3 linked regions of the Solanum lycopersicum genome follow. The main gene of each other region encodes a partner of the protein of the gene in region 3 in a complex. Links are inferred from orthologs where the notes say so. Each region holds a gene or a part of one and is shown on either strand. Other genes may lie near its edges.

Region 1 (3,956 bases), on a different chromosome or scaffold from region 3:
ATTCAATTTTAGGACATCAGAGCCCTTTCAACTCAAGATTTAAAAATTGTAAGCAAATCGTTTAAACACCATAAGCGAAAAATCAAACTTAAAGTAATAGCTGCCCCAATCCATTGGTTTAGGCAAAACCACCGGAATGCTATAATTGAATGTGTTATGAGCGACAATACAAATACATTTAGAATCAGAATCCTGCAACATTTTCTACATTTAGTATAACTAGCATAAACTCCCTTAACATACTACTAGTCACTAGAATTCATATCATAATCTTCGAAACTGCCCAACTTTTACTGGCAATTGCCATTAGAATCAGTAGTAATTGATTGAAAATCTATTAAATTTTCCACGCTTCTGCATTTCTCCACAACAGTTCCTTTATTTTTTATCTTTTTATTTTCGATAAGTAACAGGTCCATGACTAATTTAACCATACTTTGGCATTGATAAATGTATTAAGTCAGTGTTTTTAATAAGGTTCAGCAATAAAGCACGGCAGTGATGTTCTAGATCTTTCTTTTTTTGGGATAAGTATCATACTAGACCAAAATGGGCATTATTCTTCCTAGACTAACAGGCATTTTTCTTCCTAGACTAAAGTGGGGCACAAAGTATAGTTGTACTTGAATTTATATCATACATAAAACATATATAGTTGTTGATGTCAAGGACACCAAGAGGACTGCCAAAATATGATGCTAAAATGTTCTTTCAGTCCGGAAGATGTCTCACCTGCTCCTTTTTTCTCAAACAAACAGATTCCTATTTACACATTTTATCAGTATGCTTGTACATGATATTTTAACATGGTTCTAATAATATCACATATACATACCTCTCCATGCAATGGTTCCCCAAGCACACTAGAATATGTAATTGGTGAATATCTCATGTTAGCAACTGCTTCACCAGACGAATTTGCAGAGGCTTGAGGAAGAAGTCGAGCGGTCCCAAATGTAGGGCAGTGAAGGTGCTGATCCAACATTTGCATATGCATAGCCATCATATCTCGCCTCCGATGGATCTCCAAAATAAGAGTGAACAGAGCTTCATCATCTGGTATATTTTCTAAAAACTGCAACCCACTCCGGAGAAGTTCATAAAACGGTATACGGCATTTATCATTCTCAACCAGCAACCAAATAACATCTAAACAACTGTGTAGCCACTTAATTAGGGCCTTATCTGGTTTCCAATATTTCGTACTGTCTAATTCATCAATACCATGTAACTTTTGGTCCCAATTAATCAACCAATTCAACATATGGTGGAGAACTTCGGCATGTGTTACTGGCTTAAGATTAGAATCTAGACCAGTTAAAATAATTTTGCAACATAACTGACGCAGACTGCTTGTAGCATTATCATTTAACAACAAATTCACTTTTGCAACAGACTGTTGGCTAGTACCATTAACATCAGAAGACTTCATGGGAGACAAAGCAGCAGAAGATGAGGGTTCAGCTGCTGAATGAAGAGGGGACCCAATACCATGGACAGCGGGCAAAGGAGATGCAGGATTTGATGAGTGAAAAATGGAGGTAGACGCTACTGTGGTGGAAGAAGGGAGCAATCCAGATGTTAAATTAGCAGAAGAGACAGCAGCAGATGGTAGATTAGCCTGGCTAGCGGATATCTCAGTTGATGAAACGGAGGAAAGAAGAGAAGGCAAGAAAGAATCCCAGTTTATGAATCCTATACTAGACAAACTACATATGGCAAATTGAATAAATTCTGCACGAGGTGCGTGACTACTGCAATGAATAACGAGGGAAATAAGAACAGATTCTGCCACTGCACTTAGCTGTTCCTTGTCCTGGAATAACATGTCAGCATGCGTCATTACACAGAAGATAAACAAAAGCAAAGATGTAACATTTCCAAGTGAAAAACTTACAGTAAACTGGCTCTGCAGCTGTCCAAAATCTAAGAGAAATTGCTCATTTCGTGGAGGAAGCTCTCTGTTAAGAGCAGTTACTCTCTTCTGTGTCTTGTTCCTGTATATCTCTAACGAATCATAAGACTTTTCTTCTTCTTTTTTTATTCTTTGGGTCAGTGCAATGAAACATATGACTTTAGGCATCATAAAGCACAAGTTTGAAATGAAAAGAGAAGTGAAGCATGCATAAACTGAATGTAGATAGCTGATAAGAATTATGTGTCGAAATCAATTGCTGATAAATTTCAATTTCAGTAATTATTAATAAAAGAAGAGTAGACTTACGGTGGTTCTCTGATAGAATCATCTGATTTTTGTCCAGAATTTTTCTGCCAAAGAGAAAAAAAATAATATAATTTATATTTACAGAAGAAGGGGTTTGAAATTAAAATTGATTACCAGTCCTAAGTATAAATTGAAGAGATCAAGGATGGCAGGTCGAGAGGGATGAAACTGTTGGTGGGACCGAGACCTCAACTGGTGTGTGTTGTTATGCTCCATTTCTCCGCTGCTTGGAGTGGAAACGGGAACTCGCAGCATACTTTTCTTCTTTTCCCCTTCCGATTTAGACTTAGACTAGACAGTCCAAAATTAACTGCAAATATAAAAGACCAAGGAATATATGCTCCACGAGTTTCCCCTGAAAATTATGTCTTTTTTATCACATTGGTCAAATTTATTTCAAGTAAATTTCGATCAAAACTAATAATTATAAAAATTTTATAAAATATAAAAAAACACTTCGTTTTTTAACTTTTATAATTCAATCCAAATAATTTTAAAAAAAAAAAAAAATCTTTCTTCTTCTTCTTCTTCTTTCAACTTTCTCTCTTTTTTGTTCTTCTTCTTCCTTAGAAATCCAACTATCAAAACAAATATTCTCTCTATTATCTTCCTCCTCATCTCTGGTCCTGAATCTCTCCTCTTACTAAACTGAACTCGTGCGACTTAAAATGGATAAGTCATTAATTAAAAAAAAATTACAAATTTCGAACAATACTAAATTTTTTGTTAGATTAATGAACAGTAAATCGTTCTATAGATGTGAAAATTGAATAATGATGTAATGGTACCTATTATTTATTGTTTTTGAAAGAAATTCAACAAACCCAAAAAAACTTAATTTTGAGGAAATGTATATGTATTGTTAATATTCGGTGAAAAGTCATTCTTTGTTGCTTTTGTTAGTCTTTTTGTGACCATTTTGTTGATATAATTTTAGAAATATAGTCTTGTTAAGTTGTTCAACATATATTTTATTTGTTGAGGGATGTAGCCTATGTTGCCACATGTTAGTGATATATTGGTGCATATTCCAAAGAGTTGTCATATGTTGGAACATCTCACCTATGCGTTAGGGCAACAAAATGGTGATATGTGGCAACAGAACATTTATCTGTGGCAATACAAGATCCATTTGTGGCAACAATAGGTACATTTGTGGCAACAGTGTTACAACACTTAAAATGAAATAGGACTAACTAGAACCTATCATGGGTTCTCTGAGTTAATAAGGTGTTAAATGATGAATAATAGCTTTAGGAGACGTTTAAACAGTTTGGAAGTCGAACTTCAAACCTTTAATTCTTTCAATTCAGTCAGAGTCATCCGGTAAGGAGGAATTGAAATGGGTTTCGTTTCCGGCAACAAATCTATGCTGAAATTTATTTCCCGTTAATGAGGAATTGCGGGCAAATCATCGGGAAGGACTTTCAGAAATTCCTTCACTACGGGTACCGACTCTAAAGGAGGAGCTTCAGACCCAAGGTCTTTGACCCTCACAATATGGTAGAGACATCCGTTATAATCATCTTACAAGCTTTTAAACTCTAAATGATTTAACCTCTAGGGATTGAGTTTCCCCCCTTCCATTCTAAAATGTGTTCATTAGGCAATTGGAATTTAACTACCCTTTTATTACAAACAATAGAAGCAAAACAAGCATGTAATCAATCGATCCCCAATACGACATGAAAGTCCAACATATCAAGTTATACCAAATCGACCAATGTAACTC
Region 2 (4,147 bases), on a different chromosome or scaffold from region 3:
CCGCGAGCAGCATATAGCAGGTGTCCGGCGATGACCAATTTTTTGAATCTAGCAGTAACTTCTGTACAAAAGAAGTGAAAAAAAAATAAAACAGTTTCTTAAGATTGAATACGTTGCTCTTTTGACATCTCTAACACCTCACCGATTTAATTGTATGGTTGAAGTTATAGCAGCAGAGTCATGTAGAACAGGGACTCTGCCATGTACATAGGTCAGCAAGAAGATCTCGAAGCTGGTCAATCAGAAGTTTGAGATGCTTGTTCTTGTCTACAAGCTCCTGCAATTTGTAAGAACAATAGAATATGCTTTAAATCTTGATCACAATAGCAACTTGATTTTTCACTACCGTAAGATAATAGAAAACTATTAGGCATGCACTCAAGTACGATAAAACTCTACCTTCACTTGAGGACTTCTTATTGCCACTAGGGGGAGACATAAAGCAAATGAAACAGGATTTGACTAATTTTAACGCAATAGGAATAAAATTAATAATAATACAGTATGTACAACAAGCAGAGGATGTTGAAACCAAGTTTTCATATGTTATCACAAAATCATATTGTTCTGATTTGAGGTTGTGACAAATATCGAGACTTGAGAAAGTTTGTACAGTAAGACATTTTGTCATGTGTCCGGAATGAAAATGTAACATGTAGTATACCTCAATATTGTTTTAATGGATAAGAAATTACTCAATGGATCAAGGAAGACATCAGTCAAGGTTCAAATATTGGCACACACATTTGCTTCACCAAACCCACCCATCATGCATCCCAAAAACCAACAAAAATCCAAGGAAATTCTAATATGTCAAAATTTGATATGTTATCAATACCTTCTTTAATGAAGAGGCCCGGTCTTCCAGCTGCTCAATTTCCGCTTGATCTGCTGCAGATAGTGAACCACTAGCAGAAGCAGCTTCCAATGCTTTTGCCTAGCTAACAAAGCCAGTAATGAGTGTGAAGTATCATACAATAAGTTAACAACTTTCCAAAATGTACAAGAAAATATAACTTGTTAATCATGAGAATTGAGACAACAGAAAGGAGAGTTTGACAACTTCCAGTTAAAACGGAGCAAATACTTGCACAACTCTTAAGAAAGAAGTTACTAAAAGAACTCATTTAATGTGTAGTCGGACATATGTTGAGCAACAAAAATGCACTCAACATCAGTGATTTATTTGTTCATACTGACAAACAAAATTCTTACTGCTTAACCAGATTCTCTCCAATGCACAAATGTTAAGGCAATCCATACACCAACACCAAGGACTTGAGATGTGATTATAGTGCTAATTCTTTCTTGAAAAGGATAACACGCAGTAGTTTATCTTGGTATAAACACTTATACCTCATGTGCGTTTAAACAGCAGAAACAAGAACAACCTCGAAAACATAGTTAAATATCTTCCCCCATCCCCAGCCCCCAACAGCCACCCACAAACCCAGAAGAATATAAGACAAATCAGAAAAAGAGTAAGCAGCACAGTTGAGCTTCATCAACTGATGACGAGGGATGATCAAACGACTGAATATTATATTCATAGTGAAGAAATATTATCCCCATGTCTAGAACATCAAAATATACAATTGCCATGTGCAAATGTTGCTCATATTGGTAAGGGCAAATTGTGCTAGTATATAACCACATGATGTCTTTCCCATATCAATCACCAAAACTGTTTAACCCCTTGTTTTGTGATTAAGATCAATCACCAAACACTTTTCACACTGAATTTACCTTTATCGCTAGATAATGTCTTTTTTTTTCTGCTCAAACTGGATAATGTTTTTCTCTCCTACAGTACTCCGAAGGAACTACATTTCTAGAATATCTATTTGAGTTTCATTCCCAATCAAAACTACCATCTAACAGAACACCAACACCACCTATGGCTCAACACAAGCTGGTTGGTGGTGGAAGTATACGAATCCTCCATATCCATATGGAACCACTTCACTCCAGTATCAAATAGTTTTAACCTTTGGAACCTCTAAAACTAGAGGTTATCTACGTTGGATCCAAATCTTTGCGGTCACGTTGAACTACCTTTGGCATTGAACAAAGCCCCAGTCTTTTACACATTTTCTGTTTAATGGACTTCACTAGAAGTGATTCATTCATATAGCTGAACCGAACTAGTTTATGATCAAGCCATTGTTGATTCATGATTACATCAAACTAACTTTTCCTGAGATCACTATCTTAAATTACAGATATCACACAATTACAAAAATGTTTTAAAAAATTGCATTTTTATACGTAAAATTACCTTTTGGGAATTAGAAATTGCAGTAAGAACAGAACGCAAGGAAGCAATAGAGGACTTATAACGCAGACGAGATTCATCAAGAGCACCACCACCAATATCCAAATGCTGAGCTGAAGCAGAAGAAGACGAAGAAGTATCAGACGAAATGTCGCCGTTTGTATGGTGCTGCTGTCCATTACTCAAAACACCACTAGCACCAACTCCTCCACCGGCCACCGCCACCGCAGAAGAAGCAGCAGCTGTATTTAGAGTGGACCAAAGTGATGGATTACAGAGTTCATCGTTCATGGCGGAGAGAATTTGATGTGCTGCTTCTATTGTATCTTCTAAATGCTTTTGCCCTTCTACTGCTAGTTCTTGTATGGTTTTAGGGCTTGTAATTGTGCCTTTATCCTCCATACCGGGTAATGTCACCGGCTTGTCAAAACCCTAGATCGACGGCGGCGGTAGTGGTGGCGATCGGCGGTGCGAGAAGTTGTAAGGAGAATTAATTTAAGCATAAAATGACGTCGTTTTATGCGTGGCGTGTACTTTTTGGGCCGGGTAAGGAGCTATGTATTACTGGATCAAGCCCAAAATCAAGTTACTTGGGTCAAAATTCAAGGAAAAATTATATAAATTAATACATTTTAATAAATAATTACTGATTTTAGCGATACTTTTTATTTATTGTCATTTATAGCAATATTATGTAAAATCTGCAATATGAATTAAAAGTGAATTATGTATGCAATGTACGTGAATTATAAGTTGTTTTTTGAAATATATTAAGTTTGTTTACTAAATTTGACACATTCTATTATAAATGTATTAAAATGTGTGAAAAACGTATTATCCATCGTTAAAATTTGTATTATATGTAATATTAAATTGTTATTTATAATATGTATAAAACTTGTATTATAAATAAATTAAAACTGATTAAGTAATTTTTTTTTATTATTGCTATAAATGGTAAATATTTTTTTAATTATAGTACGTGTATATAAGTTCCCCGAAATTCAATGGGGGAAAGAAGTGCACAAATATCTGTGTTTAACGTTGCAGAAAAATTACCAGATTACATAAACATTCCTATCATATTTACTACGTAGTTTTTTTTTCATAATTTTGAAAAGTTACGCATCGTCTTCTAATTAGTAATTTCATACTAGATGTCAAGTCATATAGACCTAGATGCATGTAATATACTACTATATACACTTTAAAATATAAACTTATAGAAAAAAAGACGAGTGAAAAAGACGTAAAGTGAATGAGAGAGAGTCTATGTATCGCAAATAGATGCAAACTAAAAAAAGTGTGATTCCAATTAAAATTAAAAAGCGAAAGAAGAAATGTTTAAAAACTTCCATTTGAGATTTTGAAAGAAACAAATCAAAGATTCCTTTTTTTTTATTCAACGTGCCATTAATACCTAATTAAAAAAAGACAACACCATTCGAATCGATAATTAGTCTTATTGTGCATTTTAATAATAGAAATTAAAATATTATATATATATAATATTCTTTCTATTTCATTTTATAAGACACTTTTCAGATTTTAAAATTCAAATAAATTTATTTTATAAAAAGGAAAAAATGACAAATATATTCTCGAACTACCGTAAATGATATGCAGATACCTTCAGTCATTATTTTGGGACATTGATGTCTCTGTCGTTCATAAATTAGAGCATATATGCCCTTCACTCTAACGAAGGGACAGGGGTACCAATGTCTCCAAAGTATGACGGTAGGAGCACCAATGTCCCAAAAGTACGACGACAGGGGCACCAATGTCCCAAAAGTATGACGACAAGGGCACTAATGTCCCAAAAGTATGACGAATGGTATTTGCGTACCATTTACAATAGTTTGGGATGTA
Region 3 (6,396 bases):
CTGCTGTTGCTGCATGTGAGATTGCATCAAGGACTGTGATGTGCTTCCCGGCTGAAATTTCTGCTTCATCATTTGATGTTGATGCAGTTGCTGCTGGTACATATATTGCTGTGTTGTCTGGGACTGCTGCTGTTGCTGTTGAGAAACAACCTGTTGTTGTCTTCCCTGCATCTGCCTCTGAGAATTAGCAACCATATTAGGAGGCATGCCTTGCCCAATGGCATTTCCTACCAAGTTTTGACCAACATTTGGCATGTTTTGCATGGTTTGCAAATTTGAATTCTGGCCCACGACATTTGGCATGGTACCCTGCGTCAAATTACTCACAGAAGGAAGTGAAGGAGCCAAGCTAGCAGAATTTTGCAGCCCAGTCGATGCCATATTGTTCTGAAGGTTTTGCTGCAACAGTGGTTGTCGTGTTTGAGTTTGATTGGCCACCATAGGTACAGGAAGTTGCTGTGCTTGGCTGTTGACTTGGGATTGCATACTGTGCGATCCTACAGAAATGAATAAAAAAGAAGCCAGTCAAGATGCTATCAAATAACCAGCAAACATAATAACATTAAAATAAAATACAAACAAGCAGCAAAAGTAAACACGTATTTTTTAGTTTAAGATACAAGAAACAGAAGTCATAGCTTTGTGAAAACTGATTCGAAAATACAAAAGAGAAGTTTGACTAAGTTACTTATTAGACAAATAAACAACAAGAATAGTCTGGATATAGAGAAAGAGCAGGGCTAGGACTCTGACCTAGAGCACAAACAATACTTATTAGGGCTAGTCACCAAAATTATAGATCACTCAAAGATTAGCACAATGGTTCAAGCATCTAAAATTTCCTTTACACTTATTAGCTACAGAGAACAAACTTTTCAACAGCAGAACGAAGTAATTAGGTTTACACAAAACGTCCTGTCATACAAGTTTTCCCTATTTGAAATAGAGCACATGAGATTTCATTGTTCACCTGGACCAAGGGCATTCTGACCACTACTAGCAGGATTTGGCTGAACAGAATTGGTCATAGGAGGTTGAGATTTTGTCTCCATGGTCAGCATCTTTAAAGATATCTTCCGAAGATAATCTTGCTGCAATATTAGATAAATATAAGTTAAAACACATACAACATAGGGTTGGCAAACTGAGGGTAGGCTATGCAGGGCGAGTTCAAATACTTTTTAAAAAACACTGATGCAGCATAAGGCGGGTTGCAGAACTATGAAGGGGGTTTAAACAACAACGTATCCAGTGTAACTCCTACAAGTGAGTCTGGGGAGGGTGAGGAATGTACAAAGACCTTACCACTACCTCATAAAGATAGAGAGATTGTTTTCGATAAACCTTCAGGCCTCTACTGAAGTAAAGAATCTCCAAGCAGCGATTTGAACAAGAACAAAAAAAGAAATTAAGTTCTTTCCTTAGGCGTGCAACCAGATCTGGGAGGATAGAGTGGGGAGGATGGAGTTTACACAAACCTTAAACCTACTTTGTGGAGGTTGCTTAGGCATGCAAAGACATTCAAATTAGATCTAAATTATTTTTTTGTGGTAGTCAGTATAAAAATTAGTGTAAAAGTAGATTTTGTGAATCTATGTCGGTTACTCAAATATGAAATTATTTTATTTAATTCCATATAACTTATTACTATCCATTTTGCGTTGACAAATATATAGTGAGCACTGCCCCCAAGGCCTAGCTCAAGCGGCAAAAGGTGGAGGATTTGTAACTTAGGTTGCAGGTTCAAGCCCCACCATGCAAACTTGCAAAGCGACGCTAAGTATTTAAGTGGAGAAGGGTAGAGGGCCGGGCCCATTATCCACCGAGTTTAGAAGACTGTGATTGGTCCAAAGGGTGGCGGGTCACAGACGGATTTCTCTAGGCCCATTATTCACCTAGTTTAGAAGATTGTGATTGGTCAAAAGTGTGGCGGGTCACAGACGGATTTCTCCAGGCCCATTATTCACCTAGTTTAGAAGACTGTGATTGGTCCAAAGGGTGGCGGGTCACAGACGGATTTCTCGGTTATCAAAATATATATATATATATATATATATATATATATATAGTGAGCACTCTTGGGGAATAATAATTAATATGATACTATAATATTTACGTGTGAGAAAAACATGTCAATATGCAGAATTAACCCTTTTTTTGTTTGTGACATCACTGTAATAGGTAATTTTACTTACACAAATTACCAATTAAATAAGATTTACAAATCACATGCTTAAGATGAACTGATATATACTATCAGGCTCTTCCATTTCCCTGTTATAAGAACCTTGATGAGAGCAAATATAAGAATATCCAATTATTATTTTTAATGTCAGCCATGTCTTGGTAAAATTGCTAAAATGGTAATTCATGTTTTCCTTTAGGAGTACGAAAATCAACATAAACATAATGATATGGGTGGGGGGTCAAAATCTTCGCAGGATTATGCGGATTTGGCCTGCAACCGCACTGTACCTGGTCCTCTTGCCATCCCTAATACAACGTGTCTAGATGCAAGTTTATACAAGCAGGAATAACATCAATGATAAGGAGAACAAATTGAATCATTTATGTAGAAGAATCCATCATCAGATAAATGGATGGTTGTATGGTTTTGGAGAACAAGTTGCATCAAGAGTCTCAAATCGGATGAAAAAGGATATATGGTCTCGGATAACAAATTGAAACAAGAATCACACATTGGATGAAAAAGGGATGAGTGATTCCCTTATATGGTCTTGAAAACAAAATTGCATCAAAAGTCTAATATCGGATTTTAAAGGCAGGGGTGGTTTATGAGCTAGCTTTACAATTTGAACAAATAAGAAACAAGTTTAGACTACATACCTGACTTGTAGCAGCAGAATAGATCTTTTCTTCAAACCTTACAGCAATTTTCTTAAGCTCCTGTACTCCTTCTTGCCCAGAAACAGGAAGATGCCTCTTTAAGGTCTCCATTCTATATAATCATATCAACAAAAGATCAACCTGAACTCTTGATAAAAGCACAATCTAGATAAATACTTCTCAAATATATTAAAAATAATTCGACATCACGCCCTGCTACAAAAGAGTAAAAGTTGTTTCCTTTAAACAAATATCAGCAATTATAATCCAATTATCTCCAGTGACAACCTGTCATTTTGACATATCAAGAACAAAGTCTTGATAAGATCAAAATCTAGATAAATGCTTCTCAAATATATTAACAATAATTTGACATCATACCCTGCTACAAAAGACTAAAACTTATTTCCTCTGAGCAAATATAAGTAGTTATTATCCAATTATCGCGAACAACAGCCAACCATTTCGACATATCTAAAACAAAATATAAAGCACAGTGAGTAAAACTAGGTTTTCCCACTTGAACTAGTTCCTTGACTGATCCACCACAACACCACCCCCACCCCCAACAACAAAACATACCTAGTGTAATCCCACACATGGGGTCAGAGTGTAAGCATATGTTACCCCTTGACTAATTACCAAAATTGGTAATAACTAGGGCACAAAATTCCAATTAACTCACCCAATACCATTAACAAAAAACCCCCCAAAATTCACCTAATAAAGTAAGTTTCCATAAAACAGAACGACACTGAAAAAAAATATGTATCAGATTGATTAATCAATACTTCTAACGAAATCGGATTTCTTCAGATAACCGATAAAACACAAAAAAAAAACCCTAAAATTCAAAATTCCAGAAATATAAAAAAAAAAACAAGAACAAGTCGCAAAACCAAAAATTAAAAAAAAAAAAAACTTACATCTTATTCACAATTCTTTGACGCGAATCGGGCATAAGTTGAGTCCTCCAATCACCGGACTCCATAGCTCCGGCAGCCGCTCCACCACCTTCACCACCTCCCGGAGCCTGAGCCTGAGCGGCCCTCCAATTATTCCCATCCATTTCAACTCCGCACCAAAATTCCTTAATCCACAATCAATAATCACAATTTCTGGCTTCGATCAACGATGAAAAATCACAATTGCGCCTAGATTTCTTGAGTGTATGTATAAATAAGAAAATAAAACTCCCAAAGACTTTATATTATACATTTCATACATAGTAATAAATTTTTTTAGTAATATCTGACTATTACCAACGTGTCCAGCCGCCATTGACTCAATATCTCTTGGCCCATTCACTAGTTTTAAGCTAGTTTAAGAAAAAAAAATTTATGTTTAATATAGTGATTTTATTTTAGCATTGTGTAGTATATAAAAAGTTTTTATTTAAAAAAAAATAAATGATTTGAATAGTGATAAAAGTATTTTCTCATGGAAAATATATTTTCCTAAAAAATGTTTTCGTGAAAAACAAGTAGAGTTTGAAATTATTTCCTCATGTTTTGTAAGTGAGTAGAAAATATTTTCCGAAAATGATTTATAGTGTTCGATTTATGAATGAAAAATGTTTTTGATACTAGAGTAAAAAATAATTTATTAAATTTAAAATATTTTTTAAAAACAAAATTACTATTTTATGGGGTGAGGTATGGGTGGGGGTAATGCGAGGGGGAGGGGGTAAGAGTGAAAAAATAAAAATTTAAAGTTGTTTGTATTTTTAAATAACAAAATTAAATTTTTTGGGATTGGGGTTTGAGGGGGGTGGCTGACCGGGAAAATTAACTAGTCAACGAGATTAGCATTTTGACGAGGATCGTTGACAATTTTTATTATGATTAACTACTATTTTCTCCGTCCATAATTAATTTTCATGACTTTCTTTTTTAAGAATCAAGGTATAAGAATTTTGATTAATATTTTTATCATAGTGATATGTAAAAATTGTAATTTATATTACTTTTTGTATAATTTTTAAATATCTATTTTTTAAAAAAAAATTGAATTAACGTAATTTAATTTAACTTCAAAAATTAGATAAGTTAACTTTCGAAAAGCGCAACATGACAATAAAAGTGGACTAGGAGAGTATGTTTTTTTCCTAGTTAAAATATGCTTAGATTGGGAATTAAAAGAAACTCTATGCATTTATAAATTAAATTGTAATAAATTAAGTATTGTCGTGTATATAATTCGTGCAATAACAGAATCAACATATCATTTACGATAATTTAAGGGTATATTTATCCCCTTTTCCTTTATTATATACAAATTAAAAATCAATTCATTTTCTTATCTCATCCCAAATTCATCAAACACATCCCAAACAATTAAACATGAATGTAACAACTAGTTTAGTCGTGTACGAGTTCAGTAAAACACTTTATACGAAAATCATATATTCAATTTATAGGCAAATTTAGAATTTTGAGATGATGAGTGTATTATTATGAAAATGTTGATCTAGTATATATATTTGATCGGTTTTACATTTAAGTTCTTACATTAAAAATCGTTAAAATTATTAAATTACTGATCCAATAATTTTTATCTATTCAAATAGTGTGTGCGCGCGTGTATATAAAAACTATTAGATCAGTGATGGAGTCAAAATTTCAACGAAGGGGTGTCAAAATATGAATAAGTAAAATCATGTAGACATCAAGGAATGTCAGTAATGTAATATATATATATATATATACACACACATTAAAAATATCTTTACCCAGCCACACGATGTACATTTTCGAGGAAGGGGTATCCATATATGTGGCTGCGCCACTGGACTGAACCCATTGGTTGTGTGTTATATCATCCAGTATTGCTAGTTTTAATTTACATATTTGGTTTAATTATATAAAATTACAATGCCAAAAAAAGGAATTTCCAATTTTACAAACTTGAAAATTTTGAAAGATCAAAGCTTATACATATAAAGTGCTACCGATAATCACTTAGAGAGGTTTTAATCTAAGACAAGATAGATATAAGATTCAAATTTTTAATCTCACTTGGAGAGGTGCATCCGATCAACATAGCATTGCAATATGATTTTTTGAGTGTGAATTCAAATATTTATATTTAAATATTTCTTTAAAAATATAACATCACAATGTATGATTCAGAAGAGGAGCATAAGTTCACGTATATTTACATAATCTTTTGGGAAAATGCAAGAGTACCCCCTCAACCTATGCCCGAAATCCGAGAGACACATTTATACTTTACTAAGGTCCTATTACCCCTGAACTTATTTATAAGTAATTTTCTACCCCTTTTCGACCTACATGGCACTAGCTTGAAAAAAAAAGTCAACCAAGTTGAGCCCACAAGATAGTGCCACGTAGACCGAAAAGGAGTCGAAATTTATTAATAAAACAAGTTCAGGGGTAATAAGACCTTAGTATAATATAAGTGTGTTTCTGAATTTCAGACATAAGTTGAGAAAGTACTTGTGTATTATCTCTAATCTTTTAAAGTGTGTTATTGTGTATCAATACCAATAAAATTTTGATTTGTGACATAATCATACCGATAAAAAGA

What was found. The genes of interacting proteins can lie anywhere in the genome.
Region 1: mediator of RNA polymerase II transcription subunit 15a (region 3) and mediator of RNA polymerase II transcription subunit 23 share a complex: the UniProt entries of both Arabidopsis thaliana proteins name them as parts of the mediator complex. The link is inferred for Solanum lycopersicum from reciprocal best matches to the Arabidopsis thaliana genes NRB4 and AT1G23230.
Region 2: mediator of RNA polymerase II transcription subunit 15a (region 3) and mediator of RNA polymerase II transcription subunit 30 share a complex: the UniProt entries of both Arabidopsis thaliana proteins name them as parts of the mediator complex. The link is inferred for Solanum lycopersicum from reciprocal best matches to the Arabidopsis thaliana genes NRB4 and AT5G63480.

What each region holds. Positions count from the first base shown.
Region 1 is NC_090804.1:17,771,162-17,775,117, forward strand, and holds the start of mediator of RNA polymerase II transcription subunit 23, read right to left. Parts: upstream 2,801-3,956; 5' UTR 2,480-2,800; coding exon 2,339-2,479; intron 2,269-2,338; coding exon 2,225-2,268; intron 1,998-2,224; coding exon 1,898-1,997; intron 1,817-1,897; coding exon 836-1,816; intron 1-835. UniProt on the Arabidopsis thaliana protein: Component of the Mediator complex, a coactivator involved in the regulated transcription of nearly all RNA polymerase II-dependent genes.
Region 2 is NC_090807.1:2,029,146-2,033,292, forward strand, and holds the start of mediator of RNA polymerase II transcription subunit 30, read right to left. Parts: upstream 2,801-4,147; 5' UTR 2,678-2,800; coding exon 2,279-2,677; intron 938-2,278; coding exon 839-937; intron 278-838; coding exon 179-277; 3' UTR 143-178; intron 62-142; 3' UTR 1-61. UniProt on the Arabidopsis thaliana protein: Component of the Mediator complex, a coactivator involved in the regulated transcription of nearly all RNA polymerase II-dependent genes.
Region 3 is NC_090803.1:3,489,944-3,496,339, reverse strand, and holds the start of mediator of RNA polymerase II transcription subunit 15a, read right to left. Parts: upstream 4,075-6,396; 5' UTR 3,917-4,074; coding exon 3,774-3,916; intron 2,960-3,773; coding exon 2,848-2,959; intron 1,092-2,847; coding exon 971-1,091; intron 498-970; coding exon 1-497. UniProt on the Arabidopsis thaliana protein: Component of the Mediator complex, a coactivator involved in the regulated transcription of nearly all RNA polymerase II-dependent genes.